Linked DNA regions of Oryzias latipes. The protein of the gene in region 1 purifies or fractionates together with the protein of each later gene. This does not show direct contact. Links are inferred from orthologs where the notes say so. Each region holds a gene or a part of one and is shown in the gene's direction. Other genes may lie near its edges.

Region 1 (4,090 bases):
TGTGACCAAAGTTGCTCAGAATGTGCCCATAAAAAACAAAAAGTAATAAGACATTTTTGGATTTTCGATACATTTTAATTGTTTCTTTTTCATTTACATTTTGGAAGGAAAGCAGACCTGTTTAAAACCTTTTGATGGACATTGCCAGTTGTCTGCATAAATACGTTTTTCCCCTTATTCCTTCATCCAAAGATAATTTTGGGGATGTCATAGGGAGAAATTTTGATGCCCTGTCAGTTGACTTAACTACCCAGGCTCTGTATTTTTAAAATGCCACCGATTGGATCAAAACAAAGACACACTGTGTGAAATTAAAGAGAAGTCAAGTTAAGCAGCACTTATCGTTTAATCCCTGCTTCCTCACGTTTTTTGTAGCCACCTAGTCAAGACAGGAGGAACTTGCTGTTTTTATTATTCACCATATAAATACACAAGTTGATTCAAGTTTAAACAAAAACCTAATTGTGTGCCATAACATTACTCTAACATGCAATTCAAGAACCTTACCACCTGGAAAAGTATGGATTTTTATTATTTTTTAACACTTTTTCACTAGAAAGTACATCTGATTATAACTCTAATGTAAACATTCTTTCCTTTTAAATGTTCAATACAATAAGCAGATGCTTAGGAAAAAGGTAGTTTTTAGGTGTACAAAGGGTTTAGTACTAAAAGTGAGGCAGAGTACTTGAAGTTCACTTTTATACTGTAAACTTAAAATATTCCAATTTAGTCTGAAGTATTATTTATTCAGATACACTTCCTACACTAAATAGTCTATAGTTATTTGCATACTCAAGTATACATAATAAAATAAATTTAACGAAAGCTACTCTTTACTTCAGGGAAGTCAGCATAAGAAAACCTTTCTCATGATTTACTACAAGCAAAAGGTTGTTTTGTTTTAGGTATTTTTGCCTTACAGTTAAAGTTACAGTTAGTTAGCTCCTTTGTAAATACTACTGATTTAAAGCAAACTTTTTGTTGATTAGTTCATCTGTTTAGATACATTTAGTGATGTTTTTTTTATTTTTTGTCTTCTGTGAAATGAACGACATTCTAAGTTGAAGCATGTAAGTTCATCTCTTCAGGAAAGTCCCAAGTTTGGGAAATTCCGTCCAAAAAAAACAAGAAGAAAAAACAAACAAGGAAAAAGCTATTGTTTTAATTCTTTGTCAAGGCATTAATTAACTTAAATTTCTCAAATTTGATGGCTCTAACTGATGTAAAATATTATAATATTGCATTTAACTCTACGTTAATTTTTCCAAAGTATTTTTATGAACCGTAAAGTAAAAAAAAAAAGACCGTGGGTTCCTGAACGCATCTTGCAGACGCGGAAGTATGCCGTCACTGACAATAACAAACCTGCCTTAAATAACGGCGGAGCTCTGTGTGCCGTTTTTGTGTATTTTCCAGGCAGCCTGTTGTGGTCAAATACACGTCGAAAAATGACCACACGTAAACGAACATCTGCAGAGAGGATTTGATCGTGTTAGCTTCCATTTTCTCCCCGTTCATAAAGCAGCTGTGTTAACACTAGCTAAATTGCTAAGCGCGTGGCGACACGCCAAATCATGATGGCAGGGCTGGTTCTCGTTGGTTGAAATTAAGAAGTCGATTCTGATCTCCGAGGTTGACGAACTAAGCGCGTACGCAGAGTCACTTCCCGTAAATGGCAGCCATGGAGGGCGACACGGGCTACGTGAATATCGGCAGCCTGACCAGCACTCTGGCGGTCATCCCCTACCAGAAGCTGACCGACCTGTACTACCTGAGCAAGGGCGGCTTCGGCACGGTCTTCAAGGCGCAGCACTCCGACTGGCGGACCACAGTGGCCATCAAGTGCCTGAAGCTCGACTCGGTGGGAGAAAGGTATCCGTGCGCACATGTGACAGCCTAGGCCTTGCTTTCGTTTGGAAAGGGCGTTAATCAAACGTGTACTTTTTTCCATAATGTGTGTAATCACTAAATCAGAAGAACGATAATAATCGAACTATTTTTGGGATTGTGCGATCGAGGCTCAGATTATTGGTATTATTTCCTAATATATATGTCGGATAACTCTCTTTATTATTATTTTTTATCTTAAATCTGTGTCTTATTATTATTTTTATCTTAAGTCTGTGTTTTCTTTCTTTCATTTGTGTTAACAAAAGAAAGAAAAGGAGAATTGACCAGTTTTTACTTATTGGCACTCAGATTGGTGGGCCTTGGCTTGTTTCATTTTCCACATTTTTCTAACCATACACCGTGCACAACCCTCCACACAGTTGTTTTTATCAGAAACAGGGTGTTTGAGTCCTAACAAAAGTAAGAAAAGTGTTAAGGAGTCTCTGTACAGTTCCCAGCTTTTGCATAGATGTTGTACGTTTTGTCTAAAACAAACTGGGAGTTATTTCTCTCTGTAGCAGTCAAGTCCTGTTCATCAGTACAAGGAACAAGATGTCTTAAACTCCACTGAAAACTCCACTTGGGTTTTTAACTTGTTTTTGTTGCATTTTTTCTTTTGATGGAGGACAAATCAAGCTCAAAATTACGTTTCTTTTCAAATCATTGTGAATAAGGAGCAAATGAAAACATCCAGTTGGGAAAAAGCTAGACATAGGTGCTACAGTCAGCATTCTGCTCCATTCTGATGCGTCCACTTGCAGATGTTCTAAAAGGCTCTGCAGCCTTTATGTTTCCTTAACCACCTCACTCCCTTCACATCCAGGGGCGAGTGCATCATGTGGTCACAGTAAATGTTTGACATTCGTGTCATTTCAAACGCCAACAACATTCCTCATCACCTTTTTAGTAGTCTAGCTTGTGGCCAGCGGCAACAAAACCAAAGCAGTGAGTGTTGGATGGACTTTAATGCATGAGGGTTTGTTGGATTGTTCTGTAGATCTGAATAGTTTCTGTTTGTGTTCAACCAAAATGTAATTAAAAGAAGAACAATTAGGAAAAAATGTTTGAACAAATGCCATGAACAATGGCAGAGAATCATAACTATGACTTATAAACTTTTATTTTAAATGAAACCTGGGAGTTTAATCATCCTGTTAACGAAAAAAAGAATGTCCAGATAAAAATGTGGTTGTGAGGTCCCAAAGCTCCTTCCAGTTCACATCTCTTATCTTCGCTCCTGACAAACTTTTTCCAATCTGTACATGTGGAGCTGCAATGCCTGCTGCTGTTCAAACCAAGTTAAAGTCACTGCTTTGATTTGTTTACTATGCTCAGCATCCTCTACCTGCTGCTGCAAACAAACATCTCCTGTGTTCCAGAGAGAGGAAGTGTCTGCTGAAGGAGGCGGAGGTGCTTCACAAAGCCAGGTTCAACTACATCATCCAGATCTTTGGCATCTGCAACGAACCCGAGTTCTTCTGCATCATCACCGAGTTCATGAGCAATGGCTCTCTGGACCTGCTTCTTCATGAGGTCACACGCATTTATGTTATATTGGTGGAAGAGTTTTATATTTGATCAAACTTTATAAATCATTTTCTTCCTTTTTGTTTGTAGTTGTGACCCTCTCCAAGTGGGTTACATGTCAGTCTTTCAGCTCAGCCTTATGGGTCTTGTTTTCAGGCATTGCTGCGTGAACTTTTCATGAATACGAGTAGCAGCTTCCTTTTTGTGTCAGAAAGTGAAAGTGAAATGGTGTTACCCATGTGTGGGTTTTAAGGGGAAATTCCCTCTTTTTGAAATAGTAGTAAATTTCCCACCTCATTATTTATGGCGCTTGATGAAACACGGCACATGTTCACATCCTCGGTGTCACTGCTTTATCGCCACGATTTGTGGTTTTAATTTTTTTTTTCTGGTGTCTGCGTACAGAAAGAGACGTATCCGGTTCTTGGCTGGCCCCTCCGGCTGAGAATTTTGTACGAGATCGCCCTGGGGGTCAACTTCCTCCACAACATGACCCCACCTCTCCTGCACCACGATCTAAAGACGCAGAACATACTTCTGGATGGAGAATTTCACGTTAAGGTGTGTATGATGAACTTCTCTCTGGGATCCTAACAATTTGAACTCAGCAGTGATAAGAGTTAAAAATACCAAGGCATCAGAATATAGATACCTGTACATCTTCAATTTA
Region 2 (4,155 bases), on another chromosome or scaffold:
GTCAAAAACCCACACTTAAACCCAAATCTGTCCAGACAGGCAAAGGGAATGGTATCCCACAATCCCTTGTGGTGCCAATCTAACAGCAGCACCAAAGTTACATCTTTTTTCATTCATTCATTTTCTGTTCCGTTTTATCCCTTTGGGGTCATGTGGCTGCTGGAGCCTATCCTGGCCACTTGTGGGTGAAGGCAGGGGACACCCTGGACAGTTCGCCAGTCTGTTGCAGGGTAGAATGTCCTCAATCACACACCCAGTCACTCTCACACCTAGGGACATTTTAGATTAACCAATTAACCTATGAAGCATGTTTTTGGACAGTGGGAGGAAGCTGGAGAACCCGGAGAGAACCCACACATGCACGAGGAGAACATGCAAACTCCACACAGAAAGGTCCCCCATTGATGTTCTCTTTCAGGTCCCCCAGCTGGGACTTGAACTGGAGGCCTTCTTGCTGTGAGGCAAGAGCGCTAACCACTGCGCCACCGTGCAGCCCTAAAGTTACACCTACTTAATTGAATTAATTTGAATGAAAGTAAAACAACTGTCTGATAACTACGTGTTATTTTTAAGCTGACTTAACAAAAAAAAAAAAGATTTATCTTAAGTATAGCAAACAATTAAGTTAGATCAAAGTAAAAAAGTTTATTTTTCCAACATACATATGTAAGGGTTAATGGCCGACGAAGTGTGCGGTTATTACTTTTTAACACACGGCGTGGAAGCCTGAACCGTCCGACGCGAAGCAGCCAATCAGAATCGAGTATTCAACCGGACCATGGTATAAGTGGGTTTATCACCCTCTCACGGTGTAAAAAGTATTATTTGAGCTTCTTCATCCACTAAATCAACTTCAAATGGACACGCCATGCTGCTTCACCTCTCTGAAAACAAACTAATTCAACTGAACCTGCTCCATACCAGGTTATGTTCAGAGCATGAGTTGCTATGGCAACTTGACATACCCTGAAACATACCTCCATTTCTGGAACCGAAAGCTGAGGTTATCAACTTCCTTAGCCTCAAACTTACCGTGGGAGCTAGCATAACCTGCTTTCTGGAATACCCCCCAGGCTGTTTCTGGCAAAAAGTACAGTTGGTGTTTATGTCATCCTTAAATTTAGTTAAATAATATTTTGCTGGATAAAATCTGTGTAGGAGTTTAAAAGAGATTTCTTTGACTTTATTTGTTAAGAAGTACTTTAGTGGTAAAGACCAGACTTTTTTCCATTCAATGTTAGAAGTAAAATAAGCCCAATAAAAGGTAGCTGATGGAACAGAAACCAAATTATCTTTGAACAAAGCTAGTTGTTGTTGTTGTTGTTGTTGTTGTTGTTGTGGGGTCGGAACTCAACTACGCCAGCCATGTTCCGGGGATAGTATAGAGGTGTGCACATACTTCCTGATGAAGCTATAACGCTTCTGTTAAGAAAAACAACAAACCAGCTGGAGGACTGGAGGAAGATATGCCTGTAAGTTGTAGACACAGCGAGGGACTCTTCCTAAACATGGATGATGGTCCTCTTGTCTCTGCGCATGAATAGTGGAAGTGTCCGGATATCCAGAGAGCCGGCCCGGCCGACGCATCAACGACGAGCGCTCGGATCCTTCAAGCTAACGAGTTAGCATCTAGGCCTGGCGGGTAACCTAGCCGTTGGCTCTTATAGAAAGCTGAGAAAAGTGCTGGCTTTACTCCCAGCTTTGGGATGGTCATTGTGAAAGCGGTTCGCTGTTACCGTGCAAGTCATGCAGCTTCACTTTTCGGAAGTTAGCTGTTGGAGCTTTACGAGCTTTTAGTACATACATTGTTGTGCGGCTAATGTTAGCTGTGGTGGGTAATGGCTAAAAAAAAAAAAAAAAAAGTTCACGAGCAACGTATTTTTTCAGAACTTTTAGCAAATAATATTGAATGTTAATTATAGTCCTTTAGTTTAAAATAGCAACGTCAGTGTGCTTATATCTCATTATTTGTGATTATTTTGCAGAGTGTTTATGTGTTTTGATTGAAATGGCTCTTTTTTCCATAGTAATTTACTAGCTAACCTTAGCTAGTAATGTCTCTAACATTACCACCCTCCGAAATGCTGGAAACGCCACCCGGATATCCGTTTGAAGAAATTAACTATGAGGACATTGAGGTGGAAGAGGTTGGTGCCACCGTCAGTGTGTCTGTTTGTGTTGCCGTCACTTTGCTGCTGAACGCTGACAGCTCCACTCCTGTAGGTGGTTGGCAGAGGAGCGTTTGGGGTGGTCTGCAAAGCCAAGTGGAAAGGCAACGACGTTGCCATCAAGACCATTGAGAGCGAATCCGAGAGGAAAGCCTTCATCGTTGAGGTATTTCTGCTTGGTCTAAAGACAAAAATCCAGTTTGGTGTAATTCTGTGTCACGTTTATCGTTTGGCTTCAGCTCCGACAGCTTTCCCGCGTGAACCACCCCAATATTGTCAAGTTATATGGCTCCTGCAGTAATCCAGTAAGGTTACAGTCATTTTGCCAGGTTAAAACCAATAGAAAGTCAAGTTTGGGGCTAATTCTGAAATGTGTTTCTGTCTGTCTCTTCAGGTCTGCCTGGTGATGGAATATGCTGAAGGAGGATCTCTGTACAATGGTGAGCTCAGATTTTCTTTTAAAATTCACTCAGATGAAAATTGTGTCTTTGGTGTGTTTAAGATGGCATTTTTGTAACATTTTACTGATGATGGAGGACATATATATTAACAAAATTAAGGCTAAAATTACATTTCTCAGTAATTCTTTATTCAAATCGTTTAAAATCAGGAGCAGACGAAAAAATGCTGTTTGAAAAACATCTTATTTCTGTTGTAAAAGATATTATGAGTACTATACCAGTGTTTTTCAACCTTTTTTGAGCCACGGCACACTTTAACCTTGACAAAAATCCCGCAGCACACCAGCATCCAAAAAAATAGATAAATAAAAAAAAAAGAAAAACTCAGTCTGTATTGATCTACAGCCGCTCTGCAATCTCACATGCATTTTTGTGATAACTGTTGCAGAAAACGCTGGAAGCTGCAGCTGTTTTTTCTAAAAGATGTATTAAAAATTAAGTGAAAAGATTCAAAAACTGTTTGATGTGTGTTCGTTGTTTTAAGACGTTAAGAGGAGAGACTCATTGTGCGCTAAGACAGTCACTTTACTGCATCATGGGAGATGTAGTGCCCGTAATCCGCCGACCGCAGAAAGACCAGCGTCTTTGAGCTTCATGGTTTTGTTCACTTGTTCCAGTCTGATACCAGATTCTGTGGAAAGCTACGCCGCTAAAGACGAGCTTTAGCTGGTATTTTTGTAAGAACAGAGAGACTTTTCTGCGCTAAATCGAAACAAGGAAGTGAATACTTTAACCACTTCTGATTGGTCAGACTGATGACATGTGATTAAGCCTTCAAGAATGATTGGTGGAGACAGTTAAAGGGGCGGGAATTTTCCTTACACAGTTATAGCTGCAGCTAAATCGCGGTATCCTGTTATTCTTATCAAAATGTCTTTAATAGAATCATATAAACACAAAGAAAAAATAATTTTATGATATTTCATATTCTTAACTTCTCAGTGTTTTATCAGGGCCTGTTTGGATGAACAAATAGCTGATTTCCTGGAGATGGTAATTGCTTTTAGATCAGTTAATGAGTGCAATTTCTCACGGCACACTTGACCATCTCCCACGGCACACTAGTGTGCCGCGGCACACTGGTTGAAAAACACTGTACTATACTATACGTTTTTTTTTTCCTCGTCTGAGCTGGAATCTGGATCTAAACTTTACGGCTGGATAGTTTGGTGGTGTGGGGGGGCTGTAAGCTAGCGTGAGGGCATGTAAACAGAGAGTCCTCAGCAACTAGGAGAGGAATTGCGGGGGGGTTTGCTCCACGCCAACATTCCCGCCCACAACTCAGACGTGAACTTCTTATACATTTCTGCTACTCTGCAGAATCCATGTCCTATAAACGATTATGGTGTTTGGCTTATAAAACAGCTTAACATAATTAAAAGTCCACTGGGAACACTTTGAAAATAGATCAAAAGATGATCAGGGTGGGACTTTAAGACTCAAGTGGGTTTTTTTTTGCAGATGACTCCATCCATTATACTCTTGTGGCTGCATTACAAGGGCAGTACAGCTCAGATGTATGAAGC

Evidence for each region. The genes of interacting proteins can lie anywhere in the genome.
Region 2: the proteins of ripk2 (region 1) and map3k7 purify together in Homo sapiens (affinity purification with western blotting; 4 studies listed by BioGRID). This does not show direct contact. The link is inferred for Oryzias latipes from reciprocal best matches to the Homo sapiens genes RIPK2 and MAP3K7.

Annotation. Positions count from the first base shown.
Region 1 is NC_019875.2:13,779,146-13,783,235, forward strand, and holds the start of ripk2 (receptor-interacting serine/threonine-protein kinase 2), read left to right. Parts: upstream 1-1,290; 5' UTR 1,291-1,675; coding exon 1,676-1,875; intron 1,876-3,272; coding exon 3,273-3,426; intron 3,427-3,825; coding exon 3,826-3,981; intron 3,982-4,090.
Region 2 is NC_019882.2:20,589,033-20,593,187, reverse strand, and holds the start of map3k7 (mitogen-activated protein kinase kinase kinase 7), read left to right. Parts: upstream 1-1,355; 5' UTR 1,356-1,472; exon of another isoform or gene 1,473-1,642; intron 1,643-2,027; 5' UTR 2,028-2,054; coding exon 2,055-2,147; intron 2,148-2,223; coding exon 2,224-2,334; intron 2,335-2,407; coding exon 2,408-2,473; intron 2,474-2,562; coding exon 2,563-2,608; intron 2,609-4,155. UniProt on the Homo sapiens protein: Serine/threonine kinase which acts as an essential component of the MAP kinase signal transduction pathway. Plays an important role in the cascades of cellular responses evoked by changes in the environment.